2 linked regions of the Drosophila melanogaster genome follow. The gene in region 2 interacts genetically with the main gene of each other region. Each region holds a gene or a part of one and is shown on either strand. Other genes may lie near its edges. The genes, in order: cathD and Trxr1.

Evidence for each region.
Region 1: of Trxr1 (region 2) and cathD, changing one enhances a phenotype caused by changing the other (phenotypic enhancement), as found in Drosophila melanogaster (one study listed by BioGRID).

The regions. Positions count from the first base shown.
Region 1 is NT_033778.4:7,820,201-7,825,827, forward strand, and holds the start of cathD (cathepsin D), read right to left. Parts: upstream 3,370-5,627; 5' UTR 3,267-3,369; coding exon 2,349-3,266; intron 2,286-2,348; coding exon 2,025-2,285; 3' UTR 1,911-2,024; intron 1-1,910. Other genes in the region: CG30383 (uncharacterized protein), read right to left, coding at 3,926-4,258, 4,492-4,923; phr (photorepair), read left to right, coding at 5,304-5,345, 5,400-5,627.
Region 2 is NC_004354.4:8,241,886-8,248,803, forward strand, and holds Trxr1 (thioredoxin reductase 1), read left to right. Parts: upstream 1-1,696; 5' UTR 1,697-1,843; coding exon 1,844-2,174; intron 2,175-2,303; exon of another isoform or gene 2,304-2,545; coding exon of another isoform or gene 2,546-2,612; intron 2,613-3,502; exon of another isoform or gene 3,503-3,741; coding exon of another isoform or gene 3,742-3,859; intron 3,860-4,208; coding exon 4,209-4,554; intron 4,555-4,624; coding exon 4,625-4,851; intron 4,852-4,922; coding exon 4,923-5,809; 3' UTR 5,810-6,148; downstream 6,149-6,918. Other genes in the region: sni (sniffer), read right to left, coding at 1-258, 320-371, 1,066-1,191. UniProt on the Drosophila melanogaster protein: Thioredoxin system is a major player in glutathione metabolism, due to the demonstrated absence of a glutathione reductase.

The sequences.
Region 1 (5,627 bases), on a different chromosome or scaffold from region 2:
CTTTTTGACATGTATTGACAAATTTTCCAAATTCGCTATTGTGCAACCAATCGGCTCTCGAACGATAACTGATTTAGAACCTGCAATTATGCAACTAATGAACTTTTTTCCCCATTCAAAGACAATATTTTGTGACAATGAACCGTCCATAAATTCCGAGTCAATCAAGTCACTTTTGAAAAATCGTTTTAATGTTGACATAGCGAACGCACCTCCACTTCATAGTACCTCAAACGGACAGGTTGAAAGGTTTCACAGCACGCTTTTAGAAATAGCTCGATGCCTGAAACTTGACAGTGGAATGAATGATACAGTCAACCTTATTCTTCAGGCAACAATAGAATACAATAAGACGGTGCACTCAGTCACCAATAGAAGACCGATCGACATTATTCATTCAACTCCTCCCGAATTGGCTAACGAGATAGTAGAAATGGTTAACGAAGCTCAGGAAAAACAGCTAAGAAGAGAAAATGTAACAAGACGAGACAGAACCTTTGAGGTGGGAGAAACCGTCATGGTAAAACAAAACAATCGCTTGGGAAATAAACTAACCCCACGGTATAGGGAAGAACTAATCGAAGCAGACCTCGGGACAACGGTCCTCATAAAAGGGAGGGTCGTTCATAAAGATAATCTACGCTAGGTTTAGTATTTCTTTTCCTTTTGTGACCATCGCCAAGTTAGCAAAATACAAACGTGAAATCTGAACACTAGTAAAAGAGTTTGCAAACATTTTTCAATTAAATATTTGTCAAATCCTTCTTATTTAATCTTTAAACATTTTGTATTATTTCCGCTTCATCCTCTTTAGAAAATTTTAAAGGTATGTGATGAAATGCTAGACCCGAATGATTTGAAAACTTAAAGTCCACGCAACCACAAATATTTCCTGAAACTACCATAGAAAATAAATGCATTACCAAAACGGCATAATAACAGTATAGCGCACTCACTCTAATTAGATTTCAAATTCCCGATTAAAAAAAAATAAAACACTAATGTTATCAATACCCTTTCCTGATTCTGTTCAACTAAATAGGAAAATCAATACTTGCAATCAATAAGCGTTTTACTACATACTTTAATATCAAAAATATCTGAATGAACTTTATTATAAAATTATAATTGTTATACTTAATTATTGTCAAAACTTTAGTATTAAAACTGTAACTACCTCTTAAGTAGATGAGAAGAGTAGAAGAGGGAATTAAGATCTATCAACGTAGTATCTGCTAAAGACGTAAAGATGCGGCAACTATTTCTGCGCCTGGGTACTGAAACGACGAACTGAATAATATCTGCCATCAGACGCCAACCAGAGTGCGTTCAACACATACGTTTTGATGGTCAACTAGTTCAACCAACATCAGCATCATCGTCGTCAACAAGTCGACGGTTACAATAAAGATTTTTTCCAAGTTCGCTACGATCATCTCCAGAACCTTGTTGCGAACCCATGACATGGAGAATCAGCAGCATTTACGAACTTCTCGGATCATCCAGACACGCAGAGCTGCCTTCCCTTCGATGGTTTAACGCAGTACCAGGTTGGCAGTATGGGAACTTAGTGCACAACCAATGTTACCCGTAAGATCCGCTTTCAAATAGATTTGCCAATTGTAAAAAGTCTGTGGACAGCCTTCGTCTTAGAAGGGGAGGAGTTAACACAATCACAAAACACCCGAAATATAGTCGTAAGCCTCAAGTGCTTTTCCCATCTATAGATCGAGCTTTACCTATAAGAAACTGTAACTTGTTAAGCTTTAGAGATAAGAACTCTTGCTATACTTAAGTTAGTCGATTTTGGAAGATTAGAAGCGTCGGTCATCGCCACGTACTTACTATTCGTCTCATTAAGTGCAGACCGCGCAAGCCCTATTGTAATTAATAAACTTACGCTAATAAATATATGGAAAATCTACTAAAATGATAATTTATATATTATTCTTCGGAGAAACCCGCAATGGGATCGATCGATAATGTTTACAATTTAAATTTTAAGTATACTTTTCTTTGTTCGATTATTTGGCATCGGCGAAGCCCACACGATCGTTGCCCATGTCAAACTCGGTGTAGTATTTGCCAATGAAAACGTCACCGAGGATCCACAAGGGTCCGTTTGGAGGGGGGATGTCCAAGCCCATAAAGCCGGACAGACAGATGGTCTTACCCATCTGGGCCACACGGAGAATATAGTCCTTGCCCTCGAGCTCGAAGGTCTTTCCGCCCAGCACAAACTTGATTACCGGCAATTGGGGAATGAGATCGCAAGAAACCACATACTAAAGTAAGAAATTAAGAGGATTAGCAGTGCTTCATGTGAGAACTTAGAGCATGGTACTCACCTGACCACCGATGATGGGAGTTCCACCAATCTTCTGGTTAATAGAGGTGGCCTCTTCCAAGGGCGCAGCAATTAGTGAGGTACCGGTGTCAGCGATCACCTGGCAACCGCCCTTGCACAGCTGCAAATCGCCAATGGAGGCGGCATCCATCTTGATTTGCCAGTAGGCCTTGCGGGTAACGGGCAAGTAGGTGAATTCACCAGTGTAGTGGTTGGGATCGGAGCCGCCAAAGATGATCTCACCGCCCTCGGGCGAGGCGGGATCGCGATTCAGGTAGAATGAGAACACCGGAGCGGAGATCAAACCCTGTTCGTACATGGCGTAAAATGGCGGCTTCACCTTGTCCACCGAGATGGAGTTGTAGCCCAGGCCTAGGATGCCGTCGAACTTGGCAGCTACGAAGACCAGGCCCGGCTCACTGAGCGCCTCAGCGAATGTCTGATCCTTGATGTCCAGGCCGGCAATGGACACCGTATCCGTGGACAGGTATCCGGACAAGCTGCCCGAGCCATACTGGATGGCGAACTCAGTGCCGTTCTTGGTGTAGGTCTTCGACTTGGAGGCATCGTACTTGTTGTGCATCAAACAGGCGATGTTGGTCAGGTGGCACTTCTTGGACGGCACCCACAAGTTCGAGGAGCCGGTGTCGAAAACCACACGGAAGTTCTGCGGTGGCGAGCCAATGGCAATGGGCCCATAGTACTGCGCGTCCATATAGTTGGACAGCGGTTCCGGCACATCACCTCCGCCGTACCTAATGCGCAATTGCTGCAGCTCCGTGCCCACATCCGCAAAGTGCCGGCGGGCCGACTGAAATTTGTGGAGCGGTACGCGCAGCAATCCGGGCTTCTCCTGCGAATTTGGGTGGGCCACGGCCGCAGCCAGGAAGGCGACTAGAAGCAGTGCAACCTTCTGCATTTTGATTTCTATGTTACGCTTCTCTGGTGGCTAAAACTGCAATGATCGCTGCAGTTAATTAAATATTGCGGCACAGCGAAAATGATTCAGCACAGATAATGTACTAAATTTGGCTTGGCGCGTCGTTTTGATTAGAGAGATTCGATAGTTTTTGTTGTAAACTAATGCAATTCTTTAATTTTCGGAATGTTTCTTTTTAATATTTCGCGTTTATGTATATATAATACAAATGTATCATTATTTCTACACATTTAGGAAGAGCTTGTATCATGACTACGATCTTACTTTAGAGACAATAAGGGAAAGCTAAAAAAGTATTTCCCATCTTTCATTTTTAAACGCTTTTATGAGCAAACAATTAACAATTATGATGAGCAACCTTAATGTATTAATTGATAATATAGATAACAATCGTAAGGAGCGGGTCGAAGCTGAATTTCGAATCTTTACTTGTATATATAAATTCTAATAAATTCATGATAACATGGAATTATATATTAAAATATGAATAGTAAGTTGTATTTTGAGCTTAAATGGTTCAAAAATATTACAAAAATAGTCTTCTTATAGTCACCTAAAATCCAGAGAAATAATTTTATACTATTGATTAAAATGAAATAAAAGTATTAAATATAGATAAAAGATATAGCTAATCCTTTCTAGTACTTTTTACAATCACTTATTACTCGACAAAGTTTGGATTTGACCTTAGCACAGACATCCAAATCGGAGATTAGGTCATCAATGTTCGTTCGGAACGGAGTAACTCTAGCAGTATCCTCGAATGACTGTTTGGCGCGCCGCATTCTTTCGTGAATCTCACTCATATCGAGCATCTTTCCAATAGAAAGCTCATGGTTGGTGGACAACAGTACCGAGAACAGAACGGCGGACTCCATGGAGACTTTGCTTCGATACCCAACGCAGGTTTTCTGCTCCATTTCATCGCTTTCCATGAGCACGGTTTGGCATCTTTTCAGGGAATCGCCTTTCTATAAAAATCGAGCAAAAATTAATATCATACTATTGGATTAAGAGAGTAAGAGATATAAGATTATAATGTGATGTGTAAGTGCCCGGATAACTGCATAAGGATAGATTAAATTAAATTAAAAAAAGGGTACTTATTGTTTATTAACGAAAGCAATTTTAAGTAAATACATTCATATTTATGCATGTACATAGTAAATTGGCATCAAAATTATTCGCCGACAGATATGCTTACCTTAATCTTCTTGATATCTTCAGGTTGGATAAAATGTTTCTGGCGCTGGACTACAAATCGAGCTGCAAGGTCACAATCCGGAGTGTACTGGTAGCCTTGGGCAACGCGCCTGAAGAATGGATGCAGATCCAGAAGCTTAAGGCGTTTTTGGGCCATCTCCGAAAGCTGATAGGTGTCCAGTTGGGGCAGAACTTCGGTTAGGAATAAATGGCACACTTCCTTGGCAGTGAGATCCCTGAAAGCCTCGTTCCTGGTGTTCCACTCCTTCCAGGCTGAAGCATCCTGGATGTAAAACAGACGGCACGACGCAACAGCGTAGTCGATCAACTCCCTGTGGATCGATTGTTCAGCATCGTGCAAAAGCGTAGATCGAGCAATACGGCCGATATTGGCATTAAATTCCGCTTCGTCCACAGTTTCGTCCATTTTCATTCCCAATATAAAACATTTTATTATAAAACAGTAAAGAATCGGTTTAATTTCAACGTGCGCTTTCAGATCTGCACTCTTTTTGTAATCGATAACTGCTGTGTATCGTATGCGGCACTGAGACTATTGAAATCTTAGGGAATGTTTAGGAAATAGGAACATCTGGAGTTAAATGTATTTCAAAACCGAAAGCCACAACTTTCCTTAAAATATTATGCCAAAAAAAAATCTACTAATATAAATTTAAACATAATACTTAATTCTTTATTTATGTTAATTCATAATAATTTCTCTTCCAAGGGAAGTGTATTTGGAGTGCGGCTACTAGCATAATTTTCACTCTCATTGAACAGCTGATAGAGTCGCCATATCGTTATACAGTTATGTTTACACTTGCTTCATATTGGCGCGAATCATTCAAGATTGTGGGTTAAATCGAATTAGTAAAAATCAAATCACGATTTTTCATTCATGTTCAGGTTCTTCCGCTGCAGGCGATGAAGCGTACGAAGGCGCAGAAGGCAGGTCCTTCCAAAAAGGCAGCAAAAAACGAGAAGGCCAGCTCCGAGCCCAAAAGTGACCAGGAAAGCAGCGATGAGGAGGCCTCCACATCGAAGGCTTTGTTGGTTTCTAAGCCGGATTACCAAAACTTCGAGCAGTTTCTTACCCACTTGGAACACCAGCGAGTCTGCACGGCAGCCAACATA
Region 2 (6,918 bases):
CACGGCCCACGCCCATCGGCTGGGATTCGTTCGCTTTGGCTGCCTTCTTAAGGAGCGGCAGACACGCCTTGGCCAGCATGATGGGCACAACCGTGTTGGTCTGCAAGGTGTCGAGCAGCTCCTGCGATCGAACGGCCGTTATCCTGGCCGATTTGGGCGCTATGCCGGCATTGTTGAAGAGCACATTGAGGCCTTGGTCCTTGGTCACGCCCTCGATGTCGGCGACTAGCTTGTCATAGGCATCGAAATTTCTCAAATCTGCACGGAAAATATATTTATATGCGAGAGTGTTTAGCGGCTGGTAAAACATAATGCTTACCAATCTCAAGTATGTGTATGTTCGAGTGGTTCTTGGCTAGATCCTCCAGCTCCTGTGGGCCAAATTGGGAAAGACAAAATGTTTGAATAAGAAGCACATTATTAGTAAAAAAGCAGTTTATATATGAATAATTTTCCAGTTAAATTACTGTAATTTTTAGAGGCAAATTTGGTATTTCATGAGAGTTTAAATAGCGCGCCCAACGAGCGCGTTAGTGCCATAATAACCGATAGACGATAAGTGCTGCTGGTGTGACCGAACAATAGTCGGCCCAGCAATCGACAAGCCAATCGACGTCTCCCTTTCGCACGCTCGTACGAAAGTACAAAAGCTATTGCAAAAGTTGGCTCCGCTTATTCGTTTCGTGCTTTCGCGAGTGCCGAGAGCCGCTACAATACACGCTTAGCAGTTTTTACATTTCCGCTTCGACTACAACAACATTCACTACCCGCCGTTGATCCTTGTTTTCTGTCTGATTTACGTGGAGCACCTACCAACAAGCAACAAAATAATGGCGCCCGTGCAAGGTGAGTTTCACAGTTAATTCGATTCCAATTGAACCATTCAATTTATGCATGCCCATTTGGACGATTAAAAAGCGGTTTGTAGAAATAGTGGCTCTTGTGGATTGTTCGCGTAGCTTCTGTAGTTTCTGTAGCTCGACGGTTGTGAGTCACCGGTTTTGTTGGATTACTGGATTGTCTTAGTAGAGAGACAACGCAAAATAAGAAGAAAACATCTCTCACCTTTGCCTGCTCGCGATTCCGGCAGGTGGTAAATAGATGCTGCGGCGGCTGGGGAAGATTGAGCAGCGCCTTGACCAGGCCCAGACCCAATCCTCGATTGCAGCCGGTTATCAGGATGGAGTTCATGTTTTTTTTTTCCGAAGATCCGCGATCGAGTTGCTCGAAATCTTATCGCGTCGTACTTGAGATAAAACCAATAAAGGGCGGCACTACTATACGGGTTCCGTGTGTTCTGTGGATTTCACCAGACCCGCAGCCAGATCTTTCCGTGCTTATCAATCGACTTTATTGCCGTAACACAAGCGTGAAAATAGTGAAATGTTAGGAAAAATTTTGACGGCCGGCTGTTTCGTTCGGACAGCAGCAGTGTTACCAACCATCCGCGAGTTATCGATACACTTGCGCATTGCCAAACGTGCGTTTCGCACATTTCCAATTGGCAAAGGGCAGAACAACTGTTGTGATGTTCAAATCCCAAATGGAATTTCGCAATCCAATGGATGCTCCTTTATGGCAAATCCATTTTATCCCAAACATTCTCGTTTTTGCGGTACGCGCTCTTGCGCCCTCTCTCTTTCTCGCTGCTTCTGTTACGTAGCCGTTTATCGGCGCCTCTGCCTGCCCACCGCTTTCGCAGCATTCCCGGCCGAACCAGCGAACGTGTTTGTGTTGTGTGTTCCGCCGTCATTTTTCTGCACCCTTTTCGCGAATAGTTTCGTTTCGCCTCCAGCTGGTAGAGTGAAACGCCAAACGTTGAAGAAGGGGAAAGGCCAACAAGATGAACTTGTGCAATTCGAGATTCTCCGTTACGTTCGTGCGGCAGTGCTCGACGATTTTAACGTCTCCTTCGGCTGGCATTATACAAAACAGAGGCTCACTGACAACAAAGGTTCCCCATTGGATTTCCAGTAGTCTCAGCTGTGCCCATCACACGTTTCAGCGAACTATGAACTTGACGGGACAGCGAGGATCACGCGACAGTACTGGAGCTACCGGTGGGAATGCTCCAGCCGGATCCGGTGCCGGCGCACCACCACCCTTCCAGCATCCACATTGCGACAGGGCGGCCATGTACGCGCAACCGGTGCGAAAGATGAGCACCAAAGGAGGTGAGCATCGATATCGATTGATATTCTGATTAGATCTTTGCTGTTGCCGCCGCAGCTGCTGCTCCTGTTGCCGCCGGTTGGCAACGCGGTCGATTGTCGCGGTTTTCTTGCTTGTTGTTTTTTCTGGGTCTTCTTGTGTTTAACCGACGCCATTATGCAATAACCGTTAGTTGCCTGGCCAAAAAGTCCATTACTCTGCTCTTATTACCTGGCTTATCGGGTTTCTGCGGCACGTATTCGCCAAGGGTTTATATGCCTGCCCGGCATTTGCTGTCTCACATTTGCACCGTCATCGTCAATCGTCATCGCGCACCCGCTCCAACTGGAATTGTACAGTCGGGGTCGCGCGAACAGCACTCGAAACTCGTATCATGCTGAAGTACATGATTTGCGCCATCGTTGTGGGCGCCAAAAAGAGCACATCCTCTAAGTATAATGGTCAACAAAGTTCTGAATCGCGTATAAATACTATGTCAGTCGAATTTTTTTAATTGAATTATGGATTGCTCATAAAACCATTACTCAATTGCAGCTTAAACAATATCAGTTATTTGCCTCAAAAAAGAATTACATCATATGACTTAACGAATTAATAATATTTGTTAAATTACATTCATACAAGTCACTTGTATTGCCATTTTGCCTTTAGCTGGTAAAAAAAAACTAATATCTATTTATATGAAGTTAAACGTATTTGATGTTTTAATTTGTAATATAATATAAATCCCACATGCCACGATCAAGTTTTCTTGTTAAATGAATAATTAGCCAATCGAGCAGATACGAAGCTTCTAATTCCGAAAACAATAGAAGAATTTACTTATAAATATATGCCATATTCTGATTTCAAATGGTAATTAAGGGTATAATAGGATTTCTTAAAGCACCAACGTGATATGTGTGATTTTTGTCGAATGCGGTGCTCTTGAACGAATAACCCTTTGCGGAATGTTCGAGAATCGCTTTATGATGATGATGATGATGATTTCACCATATCAGTCGGGTGCATTTATTCCCTTTATCTGTGTTTTCTATTTCGTATCTCTCGTATCCGTCGCTCAACGAGCGCCCGCCATCGTCTTTGATCTTTCATCATCATTGCTGAGCTGCGTCATCACCACTTCATTCCGCAATTAATTGCAGTGTGACGACAACAATTGTTTATTTGCACTCGCATTCGTACGTAGCCACCTGATTTCCCCCTGTTCCTGGCCAGGATTAGCATTCCGTCCGATAAAAGCGAATTGTGTGTGGTGTTGCCAACTAGTTTTGGGGCGTAACCATGACAAAGTCCGGCGGGTCAAAGCAAACCGAATGGGGGGGCGTAGGTGGACGGACGGAAGAAAGGCGTGGCCGGGCTGGGATGGGCGTGGCTTGGTGTGTGGCGATGTCGCTAGATGATTGCTCCACTTTGATTCGAACTCCCACTGACCCAGTGGCATGTGTGGCATTCGGCAGCACTATCGCTACCTGGCAACTGAAGCCAAGGAGCTCGACGGGATTGCACGGTGCAGATTACGGATTGCAGGAGGCCAAACAGTCTTCGTTCCGCACTTCTTTGGTCTGGATGCATCTGTTCGAATTCATACCGGCTTCCCAGTTGGTCGAGGGTGAACCACGCCACCGGAGGAGCATCTACCGATCCGCCTATCTGGACATACGACTGCGCGAGGAGTCCACCAAAGGCAGGCGGGGATTAGCCATAATCATGAGTGAAGCTAAAGAGAAACTTGAGTAGTTGGCACCACATGGCTAATTGATATCATTACCTATCACTGATAAGGATTTTCAACTAATCTAGATACTGGTTAAGAACAAAAACAGACCATGCCAATACAACATGGCTATTGATGTTACTAACGGTGATAAGTTTTTAATAATACAAGGTGAATTGGCTGTGCTACGATTAGATTTCCTGACGGCTCCTCATGTTCTGTGACCTCTTGACCTCTTTAAGCCCAATTTTGGCAGTAGATTACATATTTCTATAGACAAAAGGCGATGAATCAAACGAAAACCTTTTTTCTCCTGCAGGATCCTACGACTACGACCTTATTGTGATTGGAGGCGGCTCAGCTGGCCTGGCCTGCGCCAAGGAGGCAGTCCTCAATGGAGCCCGTGTGGCCTGTCTGGATTTCGTTAAGCCCACGCCCACTCTGGGCACCAAGTGGGGCGTTGGCGGCACCTGCGTGAACGTGGGCTGCATTCCCAAGAAGCTGATGCACCAGGCCTCCCTTCTGGGCGAGGCTGTCCATGAGGCGGCCGCCTACGGCTGGAACGTGGACGAAAAGATCAAGCCAGACTGGCACAAGCTGGTGCAGTCCGTACAGAACCACATCAAGTCCGTCAACTGGGTGACCCGTGTGGATCTGCGCGACAAGTAAGTGTGACTATATCTATGGCTTCCGCTCGAGCATCCCCACTAATTATACCCTTCTATTTGCGCTCAGGAAAGTGGAGTACATCAATGGACTGGGCTCCTTCGTGGACTCGCACACACTGCTGGCCAAGCTGAAGAGCGGCGAGCGCACAATCACCGCCCAGACCTTCGTCATTGCCGTTGGCGGCCGACCACGTTATCCGGATATTCCCGGTGCTGTCGAGTATGGCATCACCAGCGATGATCTGTTCAGTTTGGACCGCGAGCCCGGCAAGACCCTGGTGGTGGGAGCTGGCTGTAAGTAGCTACTTTCATTTGCTTACATCAAATTGATGAATAACCCATTCGGTTTCTGCTCTTTCACTCAGACATTGGCTTGGAGTGCGCTGGATTCCTGAAGGGTCTCGGCTACGAGCCCACTGTGATGGTGCGTTCTATTGTGCTGCGTGGCTTCGACCAGCAGATGGCCGAGCTGGTGGCAGCCTCGATGGAGGAGCGTGGCATTCCCTTCCTCCGCAAGACGGTGCCGCTGTCCGTGGAAAAGCAGGATGATGGCAAGCTGCTCGTGAAGTACAAGAACGTGGAGACCGGCGAGGAGGCCGAGGATGTTTACGACACCGTTCTGTGGGCCATCGGCCGCAAGGGTCTGGTGGACGATCTGAACCTGCCCAATGCCGGCGTGACTGTGCAGAAGGACAAGATTCCAGTGGACTCCCAGGAGGCTACCAATGTGGCAAACATCTACGCTGTCGGCGATATCATCTATGGCAAGCCAGAGCTGACGCCCGTCGCCGTTTTGGCTGGCCGTTTGCTGGCCCGCCGCCTGTACGGAGGATCTACCCAGCGCATGGACTACAAGGATGTGGCCACCACCGTTTTCACGCCCCTGGAGTACGCCTGCGTCGGCCTGAGCGAGGAGGATGCCGTCAAGCAGTTCGGAGCCGATGAGATCGAGGTGTTCCACGGCTACTACAAGCCCACGGAGTTCTTCATTCCCCAGAAGAGCGTGCGCTACTGCTACTTGAAGGCTGTGGCCGAGCGCCATGGTGACCAGCGCGTCTATGGACTGCACTATATTGGCCCGGTGGCCGGTGAGGTTATCCAGGGATTCGCTGCCGCTTTGAAGTCTGGCCTGACTATTAACACGCTGATCAACACCGTGGGCATCCATCCCACTACCGCCGAAGAATTCACCCGGCTGGCCATCACCAAGCGCTCCGGACTGGACCCCACGCCGGCCAGCTGCTGCAGCTAAAGCGGGAACGCAGCTCAGCCGCCTGGGACGTGTCGAAGCCGCTTGCTCCACCCGAAATCCCGTAGATGAATGGTTGTTGTCGCGGCCCAGCGATCGATGAGTTCAATAGTTCCGTTTCGTTTCCACAATTAACACCCAACACAATAGCTCTGCGCAAGGGAGGGGCACTGGGCAGCGATGGCGGGTGGAACGACACCAGTGGAACTACCCGCGCGACCAGCCCAACCCACGACTGCTGCGCCGCCGACATGCACTCAAAATTTTGAATTTGTTTGAACCTATGAAATTAACTATGAAATCCCCTAAATGTACGGTTGAAGAATATAATTTTTCACCAACAAACCCCTCTGTGTTTCAGTTCTGTGCATTTCCTTTAAAACATACCTCGACCTTTAGCCCTTCCTCTGCCTTTTCAATCAAGTAAGTTCATTAGCCATGCAAATGGCTTGACTTGACCTGGCTAAATCGATTCTGTCTGCCAGCCTGACAACTTGTTAGCCACCCGACTAATTGCTAATGCCATTGCTAGGGGAATCTTTGCCCTCGAGGGCTATAAATCAGCTACGAACGATGGCACCCTGGAGATACATATATCAGTGGGTAATAAATTATACTTTAGTTTTCAAAGGAAAAACAGTGCGTGATAAAGTGTAATAGAAGCTACGAAAAGGTTGAAGTTTATGACCTAAGGAATCCTCGCAAGCAAATCAAAATCAAATTAAGACAGTAAATTGATGCAATCAATTAATGAACAGCAAAGAGAATTCAATAGCTTCTATAAGGAATTAGCATTAATCATATATGTATGTATGGAACACTTTCGAGGTGGTATCTCCGATTGGATGCCACGAAACAAAGCGAGATGGCTATACTATGAACCAAGCGACTTGGAATAGCCCAATATACCCATAGTGAAACCCAACCCATTGATAAGTCGCTGTTGTGATATTTTTTCTATTACATTTTTATTTTGGTTTTCCTATTTTTCGTATTGAATAACTCCTTTGTTTTGAACAACGTAAGACTTTTTCATTTACAACTGACGCAGCGCTGGCGCCTCTGCAGCCGCCGATCGTGCTCCTCATCCCGCTACTGCGCTGGCTCTTCCC